3 linked regions of the Sus scrofa genome follow. The protein of the gene in region 1 binds, or shares a complex with, the protein of each later gene. Links are inferred from orthologs where the notes say so. Each region holds a gene or a part of one and is shown in the gene's direction. Other genes may lie near its edges.

Evidence for each region. The genes of interacting proteins can lie anywhere in the genome.
Region 2: the proteins of CNNM2 (region 1) and PTP4A1 are in contact, whole or in part, in a crystal structure (PDB 5MMZ), measured with the Mus musculus proteins. The link is inferred for Sus scrofa from reciprocal best matches to the Homo sapiens genes CNNM2 and PTP4A1. Residues at the interface, in NP_291047.2 of Mus musculus: Phe526, Asp528, Val551, Asn553, Glu556, Gly557, Asp558, Pro559, Phe560, Tyr561; in NP_035330.1 of Mus musculus: Asp72, Gly73, Ala74, Gly107, Leu108, Gly109, Arg110, Arg137, Arg138, Gly139, Ala140, Phe141, Asn142, Lys144, Gln145.
Region 3: the proteins of CNNM2 (region 1) and ARL15 are in contact, whole or in part, in a crystal structure (PDB 8F6D), measured with the Homo sapiens proteins. The link is inferred for Sus scrofa from reciprocal best matches to the Homo sapiens genes CNNM2 and ARL15. Residues at the interface, in NP_060119.3 of Homo sapiens: Asn490, Val492, Pro521, Leu522, His523, Phe524, Val525, Phe526, Thr529, Glu537, Lys542, Ser543, Gln549; in NP_061960.1 of Homo sapiens: Tyr92, Ser94, Arg95, Gln98, Gln128, His129, Pro130, Gln131, Cys133.

Annotation. Positions count from the first base shown.
Region 1 is NC_010456.5:114,050,158-114,054,414, forward strand, and holds part of CNNM2 (metal transporter CNNM2), read left to right. Parts: intron 1-1,431; coding exon 1,432-1,616; intron 1,617-2,250; coding exon 2,251-2,460; 3' UTR 2,461-4,257.
Region 2 is NC_010443.5:45,168,183-45,172,921, forward strand, and holds the start of PTP4A1 (protein tyrosine phosphatase type IVA 1), read left to right. Parts: upstream 1-1,730; 5' UTR 1,731-2,514; intron 2,515-4,739. UniProt on the Homo sapiens protein: Protein tyrosine phosphatase which stimulates progression from G1 into S phase during mitosis. May play a role in the development and maintenance of differentiating epithelial tissues.
Region 3 is NC_010458.4:33,572,540-33,577,553, reverse strand, and holds the start of ARL15 (ADP-ribosylation factor-like protein 15), read left to right. Parts: upstream 1-2,005; 5' UTR 2,006-2,020; coding exon 2,021-2,203; intron 2,204-5,014.

The DNA of each region.
Region 1 (4,257 bases):
TTGTCAAATTTTAAAGAAGGTCATTTGCCAAATGGAATCTCAGATGGTGGCCAGGTGGGGCCGGGGGATAAAAAATGTGACCTGAAGACAGTTGAAGTATTTAGCCTGGAGAAGACAACTTAAGAGGATCATCTTCGGACTTTTAAGAGCTCGTAGCAGAGGACTGAAGTCATTTCTCCACAGAGCTCCGCGGAGGGAGGGGAGACTTGTTGGAAGGTGGAGAAGTGGATTTTGATGGGTGTGTCCACAGACTCTCTGGGAGTCAAAGGGTGGGACCAGCTGAGAGCCAGTCGGGGACACACTGCAAAGAGGAACCAACCTTCAGGCGGGAGAATCGGTCCCCTTGGGTCCTGTGACATTGTGCAGTTCGGGACCTGTCTGGTGTGGGCAGCAGGTGGTGTTTGTGTAATAGATTTGACTGAAAAGGCAAAAGTGGAGGAAGCTGTGGTGAGGAGGTGGTTTTTCCTTTTAATGAAATTTATTAGAAACTACGGTGAACCTGCCTCTAAGAGCACCCGAGTTTCCTTTCACTTTGTTTTAGTGGAAGAGTCAGTTTCATCAAAGACTCCCTCAGTGTCCAAGGCCACCTAATCAAAACTTTTCAGGGTTTGGTGTCTTCCAGGGGTCTTGAAATCCTAAGACGTCCTGGGGCTGCCGCACAGGGATTTTACTGGGGTCAGAGGCAAAGAGAACAGGTTTGGGTGGGAGGTATTGTATGAGCAGACACAGCTTTTTTATTTACTTAGTTTTTTGTCTTTTGTCTTTTTAGGGCCACACCCACAGCATATGGCGGCTCCCAGGCTAGGGGTCTAATCGGAGCCATAGCTGCCAGCCTGCACCACAGCCACAGCAAGGCCAGATCCGAGCTGTCTGTGACCTACACCACAGCTCATGGCAATGCCAGATCCTTAACCCACTGAGCGAGGCCAGGGATCGAACCCGCAACCTCATGGTTCCCAGTTGGATTCATTTCCGCTGCGCCATGACGGGAACTCCACACTCTTTTGATCCCTTTAAAACATGTACTGATTTGTGAACATTCTCAAGAGTCCTTTATTTTTGCTTCTGGCGAAATAATGCATTGCTGCCTTCCTCTAGCCCATGTTTTGTATCAAGTAGCTTCTGTGTCTCAGGTTTCGGCTCCCTGGTCTGTGCTCCTGACACCATGTGTGTACAGCTGCGGGGTCTTTGCTGTTGGGGACTCGGGAGGGTTGGGTCTGTCCACATGGACGGGGCCGGGAACCCCTTGCTGAGGAGAAGCGGGAGTGTGCTCTAGGAGGCCCTGCCGCTGAGCTGCATGGCTGAGGCGCCTCGTCTAAGTTCCTTGAGCTTGTCTCTTCATTATTACTTGTTATTCAGAAAATAAGGAGCTGATGTTGAGTATAGCTACCTCACTTTAAAGGCGGGTCGGGTTTTTTTCTCCTATTCCAGGTGAAAACAAGTCACCTCCACGCCCGTGTGGCTTGAATCACTCGGACTCTCTGAGTCGCAGTGACCGGATCGATGCGATGACACCGACGTTGGGAAGCAGCAACAATCAGCTCAACTCTTCATTCCTCCAAGTCTACATCCCTGACTACTCAGTGCGAGCCCTCTCTGATCTCCAGTTTGTTAAGGTGAGAGAGGGGAGCGGCCTGGCAGCTGCAGCGTAGCTTCCACCGGGAGCATGGGCTGCCCAGCCTCCCCTGGTCCTCTTGCAGATGCCTGTCTCCAAGCTACTTATGCCCCATGACTCAGGCTGGGAAGACCCTCCATCTTCTTGGCTCTGTCCGCTGGGCTGCCGCATCAATGTGGCTTTTTCAGGGAGCGAGAGCTGGAGATGGTGAGAAAAAGAGTAAACCCTTCTAGCCGGTCCTTCAGAGCTCCCCACACAAGGAGCCTGAAGAGACCTGTCAGAATACCTGCTGCCCTGGAGACCAGGTTCTTCCCTCAGTCTGAAATAAAGGCAGCCTGGGGGCACTGGCCAGCTCTAGCTCATGGACGCCAATCTCCATTTCTAGTCGCTGGGCAATTTTGAGATAAAATCTGGAAATGGCATACATATATCAGTAAAAACTGACTTGTTCACTAAAGTCGACTTGACCTTTAAAAGGCTTAAAAGGCTCGGTTTATACTCAAGGATGGTTTTCTCCTGGAGCAACCGCGAGGGGCCTGTAGGGGGATTTAAGGTATAATTAATACCATGTGGAGATAGGAGCCAAAAAATAAACATTATTGTGGTTTGTTTTCTGCACTATTTCCTGGCCCCAGATCTCAAGACAGCAGTACCAAAATGCCTTGATGGCATCCCGGATGGACAAAACTCCTCAGTCTTCAGACAGTGAAAACACTAAAATTGAATTGACTCTTACCGAGCTGCACGACGGGTTGCCGGACGAGACGGCCAACCTGCTCAATGAACAGAACTGTGTGACGCACAGCAAGGCCAACCACAGCCTGCACAGCGAAGGCGCCATCTAATGTCCCTCCCTGGCCCTGGCCCTGGCCCCAACCTGAGGCCCGGCCTCCTCCATCTGACCGTGAATCCCATTAGTGTGAGCTTGCGTGCCATGCTGCATCCTGCAACATCCTGAGACCAAAGACTTTGTCCCCTTCCTGGAAGCAGCAGAGGAGGTTGGGGAGGGCAGGAATGGATACCCGAGATGTGAACCTGACAGCCAGAGCGTGGCATTCGAAATTATGGAGATGAACTTCTTCCGCCCTAATAGAATCATGTTTATTTTTTCAGCTGTACCTTTTACCATTATTCACGCTCCTCCTCCCTTAATTTGCATGGAGTTGAAAATTGTTGCGAGAGTTACTATTTTTTTCCCCCCCGAGAGATCATGTTTTTAAAAAGTATCTTTTGCAGAGTTTGAAGTTGTTCTGTCTGAACTCTGCCGTGACCCCATGATGTGACCCTGAGAGGATGGACTTGCCCCTCCAGGTGGCCTGCCTTGGGCCCCCTGGGGAGAGGCACCCTTCCTCTGTGCCCCAGGGGGTGTCGCTGTCGAACTTGAAGGATGAATGAAGAAAGCCGCGTGGGCACCGACCTGACAAGGCTGTGGGCACTGTGGGGCGGCGCCCGCACGGGGACCCGCACTCGCTGATCTGAGCTCAGTGTTGTTTTAAGTTAATGTTTAACGGTGTCCCTTTCCCTCAGAAAGGTTTAACGCTTGCTTGGAATGTGATCTTGCTCCCACTCTAAGGAATTTTTATCACCAAAATGAATGTTAATGAATTTTACACCCATGGTTTATCATTGGCAAGAGGCAAGGTGGCTTCACGCGACATTCCCACAACCTGGCCTCTTCCCCGCCCTGGCTTACCGAGCGCCGTCGCCCACCGCCCCATCCTTGCTCTTGTAAACCCGAGATGCTGCTACACAGATGCCAAATGGAAATCTTCCACAGGGCTCTTGAGTAAACTCGCGGTATGGTGTCCACGCCCCTCCCCTGCCCGCTGTCACTGTCAGAAAACAAGTGGGACCTTCCAGCTGTGCTCTGTGCTCTGCGCCAGGAGGGCATCTTTAGACCCATGTGTTTAAAGGAGAGAACTCTGGGGCCTGCAGCCCTGCCCCTCCTTCCAGGGAGCCAACTGTCCCTCTTCCCCTCTGTCCCTGGGCCCATGGGGCCCAGCAGTGGCCGTGTCCCCGCCCGAGGACCTCTGTGCCTCCCGCCTCAGACGCGGTCCACGCCAGAGAGGCTGCCTGTACAGCCAGGGTCGGTTGGCCCCAAACAGGGATTCAGAAACCAAATGTGTGTTGTGGCCATTTCGTGTGTGTCTCTGTCTTATTTTAATACCAAATTCATCACGTGTAGTGAAATTAATGTCAGGCGGTATTTCTTGAGTGACTGAGCTCTTAATTATCTTATCTGTGTTTTAAGTGTTAACCCAAGGGAGACGTGCATTTTGTCGGCAACATTTATACACTGAAATGAATTGCTCCTGAGCGCTGTTTTCACATAGAACTGTCAGTCTGCGCTGCATCCAGTCACTAGGCGAGAGGATAGCCTTTTCTCCAGTGGGTCCCACTGAGCAAAGGGCAGCCCTGGGGCTAAGCAGCAGTTCTCTTCTCCTTCGTCCAGGTAGGATGGTGCTCCCCAGGCTGGGCTCTGCCGGGCGGGAGCTGTGGGTGGCGGGGGGGAGGCCAGCAGTGTGTGCTGGGCTTGCTTTCCAGCCAGCAGCTCAGTGGCTTCAGTGTCAGATGCGCCCCTGGCTCAGCATTTCTTCTGGAACCTCAGTCAGGGAGTGGCTTCCTCAGAAGGTACCACATCC
Region 2 (4,739 bases), on another chromosome or scaffold:
AATGTTTATTTTGTCCCATCAATTCATTTTTTGAAAAGCTTTCACTCTTTCAACTAGCATCACTGTGCTGACAAACTTTTGAAGTGAGAGTAGCCCACTGAATATGTGATTTTACCTACACTTTTTTTTTTTTTTGGTCTTTTCTAGGGCCGCTCCTGAGGCATATGGAGGTTCCCAGGCTAGGGGTATAATCGGAGCTGTAGCCGCTGGCCTACGCCACAGCCACAGGAACACAGGATCCAAGCTGAGTCTGCAACCTACACCACAGCTCATGGCAATGGCAGTGCCGGATCCTTAACCCACTGAGCGAGGCCAGGGATCAAACGCTCAACTTCATGGTTCCTAGTTGGATTCGTTAACCACTGAGCCACAACGGGAACTCCTTTTTTATTTTTATTTTTTTATTTTTTTACCTACACTATTGTATATGTTGCTCAAGCTTTTCCATATCAAAGTTTTAAATTTTTACATAATGAAATCTGACTTTTCCTTTGTGACTTGAGTTCCCTTATCTTCTTAACAAGGTTTCTCTCATCCTAGGACAATTTTTTCAATACTCCTATTTTTTTTAGGATTTTAAATATTTACATTTTTACTCGTTTATAGTTTGTGAAGGGACATCATATATTTCTCAAGCTCTTTAATCTTCCTTGATGTAGATGGATTCAGAAGTGTCCTAGGCAAGCAATTTCTTTAAAATGAAGATGACTTCTGTTCCTGTGAAAGCCTGCCTGATCCAGTTCTTTATTTTTTTGAAAGCACTTTGTTTGCAGAGTATATGCTTATAAACAAAGTTGAATATCACAAATGTCATAATATCATTTATATGTGGAATCTAAAAAAAAAATGATATAAATGAACTTATTTACAAAACCGAAACAGATTCACAGACTTTTAAAACAAACTTATGGTTACCAGAGAAGAAAGGTTGGAGGAGGGATAAATTAGGAGTTTGGGATTAACATATACACAATATTCTTTATAAAACAGATAACTGACAAGGACCTGCTGTATAGCACAGGGAACTGTACTCAATATTCTGTAATAATTTATGTGGGGAAAAGAAGGGATATAGGTATAACTGAATCACTTTGCTATACACCTGAAACACATTGTAAATCAACTATGCTCCAATAAAAATTTTTAAAAAGTTGTCTACACAAGCACAGTCTCTTAAGTAGACGTTTTAATAAATCCTAAGATGCTGCAGTACACTGACCAAGAAAACAATTTGATCCCTAAAGCCCTCTCCAATCTATGCTCAGTGAAAACAGCAAACAAAAGGCCTGAGTAGAAAACCTAGTTCTTCAAAGCAGGTAAAACTCCTGTTTACTCCTTCCAGAAGAGAAAGAGTTTTCAGATCATAAAAGACAGAATTGCCCGGGTGCAAGACAGAACAACTGTGATAAGGCTTTACTTCCTAAAAGTCTAAATTACGAACAGTGGAACAGTTCTGAAAATGAACAAAAAGGAAAGCAATAGCTTTGAGGCAAAGAATCACATCAGTCTGGCAAAATCGAAGATTCTTAATTTTTAAAACGCTGCCTAACCTTTTATTATCTGTGACAACACATCAAGTGAGCAGCAGTACAAAGGATGCCTGTGATTTAGAAATGCCACGCTTGAGCCAACTACAGTTGCCCGCGTGCGTAGCATGAAGGCGTGACCAAAAAAGACTGGGGAACAGAGGGCTTTATCTGCATCACAAGACACTCTCCGTTTTCTATACACGAATGTTTGCTGAAATAAGTCCTCTCCGCTCGCGCTACCGGGGGCAGGACCGAAACATCACAGGTGTTGTCGCGGGCAGGTGGAGCCACAGGAAGATTTCACGTTGGGGATCGCAGGGCGCAGGTGCCCAGGCAAACCGCTGGTCAAAATGACTGGGATCTGACTTACGGCAAAAGAAGTAGGCCTGGGATTGAGACTACGCTCCAGTCCGAAGTGCACTGCATTCTAGTTGAGGCCAACTTCGGGCCTCCTCCTGAGATGAGAGTGCACTCGTCAGGGGTTTAGTTACGTAGAGCAGCCTCTCATCCCCGTACGGGGCTTCCCCTGCAGACCCTCCAATGACCCTTCCCACCCCCGCCTGGTAGGCGCTCTGATTGCAGCCGGTCGCCATTCATCAACCGGTTCACACCGGCGGCCGCCGCCGCGCTGTGACGTCGGCGAGGCGGGCCTCCGCCCCCGCTCGTCGGCGCTAGGATTGAGGCCCGACTGCGATTGGCCGCCTGGGCGTTCACGTCACTCTTGCTATAAATAAGAGGGCTTGTGACGCAAGGGCGCCTCGGCGCACGTATTGGCTCATTGGGCTGCGGGCCGGCGAGGCTGCGCGCTCTCCCCGGAGCCGCTCGCTGCAGGATCGAGTCCACTGCCCTCGCTGCCTCCAGCGAAGCCGCCGCTAGCCCGCGAGGACCACCGCCACCCCTGCCCTACCGCTGCCGCCTGTGTCGCCGCCGCCTCGGGACCGGCTGTATGATTAAGCCACAATCTTCAATGAGTAGACATATTCCTGTGAGTACCCGTACCCCGTGCCGCCGCCTTTGTTCGGAGCCTGGCTCCGCCCGGGTCCCGCTGGTACTGGCGGGCGAGCGCTGAGGGCCAAGCCCGGGGCGCCGGGCTGCGCGGTGGCACGGGAGCCGCTTTGTGACCACCACCTCGCTCCGGCACCCGGCGGCGCCCCAAGGCCCCTTTGTCTGCCGCAGGGCCCGGGAGCGGGGACGTGGCCCGGGTGGGGCGCGGGTTGCGCGTCACTGCAGCGGGCGCGCCCCCAGACCCTGCGGGCGGGTGGGCGAGGCGGCTGCTCGCGGGCTGGGCCGGACTCCTTCGCGGAGCCGGCGGGATTGGGCCTGTGCGGCCACCCAGGGCCCCGCGGCTGCGGCCGGCGCTCGGACAAAATGGCCTCGGCGCCGGACTGAAGACGCGGCGCGAACCCGTGACCCGGGCCCGCGCGGCCCCACCAGGTGAGCGGCCCGCCCCGCCCCACCGGCTCCGGACAATGGGAGCAAGTCCGGGCTCGTCCCTGCTCCGGGGCGGGGCAGGAGGGAAGCGGCCTGGGTCTGAGCCTGGGGAAGCTTCCGGGCCGCACTGCGCGAAGCCAAGGGGGCCCGGTGCCGCCTTTTAATCCGGCACCCTTAGAACTTCCTGAAACCCCAGATGTGCTGTGTTTGTTGCCTCCTGTTGGCTTGCATCGCAGGGCCCAGCCAGAGCCAGAATTCTGAGGTTTATCTCTGTCCGTGGAACCCTCTGCGGTTCCAAATGTATTTCATCGTTATTTACACTGCAGTTAGAACTATCGATTTGCTTGAGATCTAGATTATGAGCCAGTGCTTCCCGTTACTCTATATGTGAATTTTGTTTGGTGGCAGTGAAAAAGTTGAAAATCAGAAAGCTAGATCATTCTGAAAACTAATCAGCATTTTATACTTGTTATATTCCAGGTGCATTGCCTAAGGTATAGGTAGATGAGGCACAAATTGCAACTACCTACCATCTGATAAAATAGTTAACACAGATTATTGTGATTATGTACAACTGATAAGTGGAAGAAGAAAAAATTCCTTGGTATTTCTAGATTGCCTATCATGGATAGGTTTTCCTGGGGCGAAGACATTGGGAATGGGGAAGTCCTGGGCAGAACAGAAAGGTGTTAGGTGTGCACAGTCACTTCCGCTTTTGTGGAAATTCATCACCCGTCTGTCCCCTACTGGGTGGCTCTATCCAGTCCACTGAAAGAATTATTTCTGTATTGCTTTCTGTGCTTCCTTGTGAGAAATTGCTAGTTGAAGGGATATGGCCAGACAGCTGTAACAGGAATTTTAGTTAAGTATGGAAGTAGTATTGTGTGTTTCTCTACAGATCGCCTTTAACTTGAAAAAAGTAGTACCTGGAAGTCAGAATACTGAGATTAGAGTCTTTGACCTTAACAGCTTTGCAAATTAATTTATCGTCATTGGGAAGGTGCCAGAAGACACTTTTTATTCCAAGGAAGTAGTATTTAGGATTTGAGGTAGAAAATATAATTGGAATTACTTCAGTTACTGCAGTCTCAGGTAAAGTGTTTGGGGCAGTGGCTGGTTCTTGGTGCTGTTATTAACCTGTTCTTAATGTTTGTCCTTTGTTTACTCCCAACCACACTACACACAAGCTCCTTATAAAGTACTTGGAAGAAGAGCAACAGCAATATCAATGCTTTTTGTGTATTCATTCTGAAAATACCCTGTGAATATTCATTTAATATTTGACATTGGCATAAAACTGTTTTGGTTTCTTAAGAAGACCTTAGGAAAAACATGATTGGTAGTAGTAGTAATCTTGCTCTTGAGACATGGGAGAAAAAAATGGAATTTACACCACTGCCCTCAGCCCCTCCCCCCCACCTCCTTCTCTCTTTTCTTTGGATTAGATTTTAGTTAAAGATGGAATAAGTGGAATTTGGGCTTTACAATCAAAAAATTTTTACTGAAATTATGAACAGCTTTTTTATAGTTATAAGTGGGAATTATTTATGTATATACATTTCTTTGTAATACTTCACATAACAAGTTGGTTAACTTCCAAAGTCTCAAATGAGAGATAATCTGTTAAAGGGGAATGATAAATTAAGAATCAAATGAGATGGCGTGTATGTAAGTGTTTTGAAAACCAGTTTTGTTTTGTTTTGTTTTTCTCTTGAGAATATTGGTTAAGTCTTTAAAGGAATAAGTGAATTACACAAAGACTAACAGCTTTCGAGTATT
Region 3 (5,014 bases), on another chromosome or scaffold:
GCAGTCAGATTAGTTTTCTTTCTTTTAATCTTAAACATATACATATTTTATTAAAGTATGGTTGACTTACAGTGTTGTGGCAATGCCGTCGGATTTTTAACCCACTGTGTCATGGCAGGAACTTCGACTCTGGCTTCTTCAAACATGACACACTTCAGGCACATGGATGACCCCCAGCCCCCACCACCAATTTACTTTGTGTTACGTAACTGTGCGCCTAACATAATACATATGGGCCAGGTGCTGAAGTCTATATACTATGTGGCTGGGCGAACCAGTGAGACACTGTGTCCTTCCTTTAAGGAACTGAGCCTAGTGAGAGAGAAAACAGAAACAGTAACAGCATCCAACAGTTACACAACGCTGACTATGTGCCAGGCACTGTTCTAAATGCATAACAGTAACTATTAATCCTAATAGCCCAGTGATGTATGCGTTTGTTTCCTTATCTATCAAATGGGGTAAATAAGTTACAGAGAAGTTACGTAACACGCCTGAGGTCACAGAACTGGAAAGAGGTAAAGCTAAGATTCAAACCCGGGCAGCTGGCTATAGCACGTATACTGTTAACAACTATACACAAAACAGCATGATAAATACCAGCATATAAATATGCATAAGTGCTTCAGCCACAGAGAGGAGGGCACTATCTTCAAATTAAGGGTAGTTAAGAAGTGTTTCGACATAATACCCTCTGTGATTTTGAATGTTATCATGTTGAATTGATACATCAACTTGAGAATTACACCTCTAAAACAGTCTTTCCATCCATGAACATCACATGTATTCAAGTTTTAGATTTCTCTCACAATCCTATGGTCGTAAGGATTATGTTTAGGTGCCTTTAGAATTTCTACTTTAAAGGTTATTTTAAAATACATCTCCTGGAGAAAAAGGAACCCTATTGCACTGTTGGTGGGATTGTAAATTGGTGCAACCACTGTGGAAAACAGTGTGGAGATTCCTCAGAAAACTAAACGTAGAACTACCATTTGATCCAGCAATCCCACTCCTGGGCATCTATGCAGAGAAAACCATGACTCGAAAAGACACACATACTCCAGTGTTCATTGCAGCACTCTTTTCAATAGCCAAGACATGGGAACAACCTAAATGTCCATCGACAGAGGAGTGGATCAAGAAGATGTGGCACATATACACAATGGAATATTACTCAGCCATTAAAAGGAACGAGATACTGGCATTTTTTAGCAACATGGATGGACCTAGAAATTATCATGCTAAGTGAGGTGAGCCATACCATGAGACACCAACATCAAATGTTTTCACTGACATGTGAAATCTGAAAAAAGGACAGACTGAACTTCTTTATAGAACAGATGCTGACTCACAGATTTTGAAAAACTTATGGTCTCCAGAGGAGACAGTTTGGGGGGTTTAGGGATGTGGTTGGGTTGTGGGATGGAAATCCTGTGAAACTGGATTGTGATGATCATTGTTAAAAAAATTAAAGATAAAAAAATGAAAAATAAATAAATAAATAAATAAAAGTGTTCTTTCCAAAAATAAAAAAATTAAAAAAATAAAATACATCTCCTAACTTTGTTGCTAAGTAACTAGAAACCCAATTTTATATTGATTTTTAAGGAGTAACACGATTTTTTCATTTTAATAACTGATATGTAGATTTGTGTTTTACACACACGACCACAATCTGCAGATGAGCTGTTTGCTTCTTTCCATTTTTATTGTTTATATTTTTGTCTGATAATGCTGTCCAGGGCCTTTGCTATAACAGCACAGAAGCAGTGATAATTGGCACCCTTATCTTTTTCCTGACTTTAAAGCAAAGGCTTTTAAATGTTGTATCATTGAATACACTTGTGTAAGGTTTTTGTAACTATCCCTCACAATCTGAATATATTGCCAACCTGGAATGTTGTTAAGGGCTGAATTGCCTACTCCCACCCCCAAATACACAGGTTCAAGTGCTAACCCCCGTACCTCAGATAGTGATTGGGTAGGCAGATAGGGCTGTTGAGGAGGTAATTAAGTAAAAATGAGGAGGTCATGGTGGACCCTAAGCCAATTTGACTGGAGCCTTTATAAGGGGAGGAGCTTTAGGCCGCAAAGAGCAGCCCACGTTAGGGGGGTACGCATCGGTGGAGGTGAGGACTCGGAGAAGGCGTGTGTCTGCCGGCTGGGGAGAGAGGCCTCAGAAGAGACCAACTCTGGAATAGCTGTAAGATTGGAACTTTTTGTTCTGGATTGTTTATTAGAACTTGATTGTACACTGTGGCGTGGCGCTTCTGTAGGAAGGTTTTAAAATTGCTATTTCTTTAATGGTAATGTGTCTTTTTCACTTAAAGTTGTGCACATTTGTGGTGTTTTGGGTCTGAAAATTGGGTTATAGAAGCTTTGCTAGAATTACTTGATAATTTCTTCCCACCAGCATTACTGTTTTTCTTTCTTTGTTTTGAAACATCTAAGTGGGTTTTATGTCTCCAGGTTGATATGCTAATTTCCTTTACCCAACTGCTTTTCATTTACCTTTTTGGTGATTTCCTTAGCTTTCTTCTACTCCTACTGAATTTACTCTTTGCTTTTAGGTTCTACCTGGTATCTGTGAGGTCAAACCCTTTCCAGTTTAATCTCAGAAGGAAACTTTCATGCTGGTCTTTGTTCAGGGCACTGGTGGGATGGTGACCTGGCTTTGCAGAGTGGGGCAGATCAATGGGCTCAAGTGAGTCTTTAAGACTCACAGCTGGAGTTCTCTTGTGGCACAGTGGATTAAGGATATGGTGGTGTTACTGCTGTGGCTTGAGACGCTGCTGCAGTGTGGGTTCAAAATGCCACAAGAGTGGCCAAAAATAAAAATTAAAAACAACAACAGCAAAAAATAAGACTCACGCCAGTTTGGTATTTTCAGCCTCAGGTGCTTCTTTTCCCTGAGCTGCTGGGAGCCCTGTAGCGGGAATCGGCTTGCTTCTCTCTGGCTTTCTCCACTCAAGAATTGAGGAGTCAACCTTTTCTCTGTTCTGTCTTGTTAACTGCCACCTCTGTAGCCACTATCTTACAAAATGGTTCATCTCTCATAAGCTCATGTCTCTAATTCTATCTTTGTGGATCTCATTCTTTTACTGCCAAATGGAGGTGAGGGAGTTGTCTTAATACTTCTACAGCAGTCAAAGGGGTGAAGAGTTACTCTGTAAATAGGGAAGGAAATTCTTTATCTTATTAATATGTGGTACTGGGAACTTTATTTCATCTGACTTTTGCTGTGAGATTTCAGGATGTTGATTGTGGGGTCAGGTGGATTTGTTAACTTTTCTCTTCACTCTCAGAGCTGCCCATCTCAGAAGGTACTAAGTATGTTCAAGCAGTGACACAATGACACAACAGGGTTGGTTGTAGTAAATGGCAAAGTCCACATGCTTAGCAACCCACCAGTCTTGAATGGTGTAAGGGCTATATGTAAGGTACCAAGCTAGGCTACCGAAAGAAGTTCACATACCACAAGCAGCTGACAAGGAGAAGCAAAATTCAAGAAAGGACTCATGCAGTTGCCTGGCGTGTAATGAGCTGATAGTTTGCAGCTGTCAGCTCTTTCAGGCTCTGCTTCAACCTTGGGGTTGGTACTTTTCTTGGGATTCTTCCTTCTTGAAGTTGCCCCCTCAACCAATGACGAAACAAGTTGCTGGTACAAAGGTCTAGCTGTTTCTGCCCAGCTTGGTCGTCTCTATTGGGCAATTTTTGCTTGGGAGTTCCCAGTAGAGGCTTTGTTAGGTGTGTATAATGTTCTGTGGTTACTTGCTACCCCCATCTTAATCCCACAGCTATTTTCTTTCACAGGTGCTGTATGTTAATAAACCTTCTGTATTTCTAATTCTTTGTCAGTGTTTGCTTCCCTGAAGGCCCAACTTGTACCAACATGAAACACAGTATCTATAAAGTCTTTGAGGAAGAGAAGATGTTCAGAAAAATAAAACAATAAAAACAATTTAAACAGTAAAAAAGTGTCTATCATTTACAAGAATGATCTGAATTGTCAACTTTGAGACTGTAAAAGATATGATTTGGCTTTTGGGGTCATAGGTGTTATGAAGGCAGGCATGTCAGTTTGTTTACAGAAGGTTTTTAAGTTGTAATTTTTAAAAGAAATGACTAGGTCTTCTTGGGTTATGGGAAGGAAATCCTGTAAAATTGGATTATTATCATTATATAATTACAAATGTGATAAAGTCATTTGAGTAATAAAAAATGACTAGGTCTTTTTAACATTATTAAAGTTCCTAGGGAATTAATATATTACATTTCATTATCTTGAACTATGTTTTAATATGTTCTTGATTAGGGTATACTAAGGACATATTACAATCTGTTTCTTGAAAACAGACTTCTAATCCAATGGCAATTGGTTTTTAAGGTTTGGTTAATTTCCAGTCAGAATTGATCTTTTAATATGAGTTTAAGTGGCTGATCTCAGTCTTGAAAGCATCTTTATTTTTCAAAAAGCATTTTTTCACATGTTGAAATAACTATCAAGAAATAAGGTGGTTGTGTGTGTGTGTGGTTTTCTGTTTGTTTGTTTTCAGGGCTGCACCTGTAGCATATGGAGGTTCCCAGGCTAGGGGTCCAGTCGGAGCTACGGCCACCGGCCTACACCACAGCAACACAGGATCTGAGCCGTGTCTTCGACCTACACCACAGCTCAAGGCAATGTCAGATCCTTAACCCACTGAGGAGGCCAGGGATCGAACCTGCAGCAACCTCATAGTTCGTAGTTGGATTTGTTTCTGCTGTGCCACAACGGGAACTCCACAATGAGCATATGTTATAGTTGATGATAAATAGCTGATTTTTCTGGTTTACCGTCCTTATTTCCTTATAATATGGCTATCAAGTAGGGCTTAGGATCTTCGTTATTCAAAGACTTTCAAAGAAGGTAGCATGCTATTCTTTCATGCAAGATAAAGTAGTGCAGATGTTTCATTTCACAGAAGATTCAAAACTACCCTAAACATTGTACAATTATAATCAGATTTTATCCTTC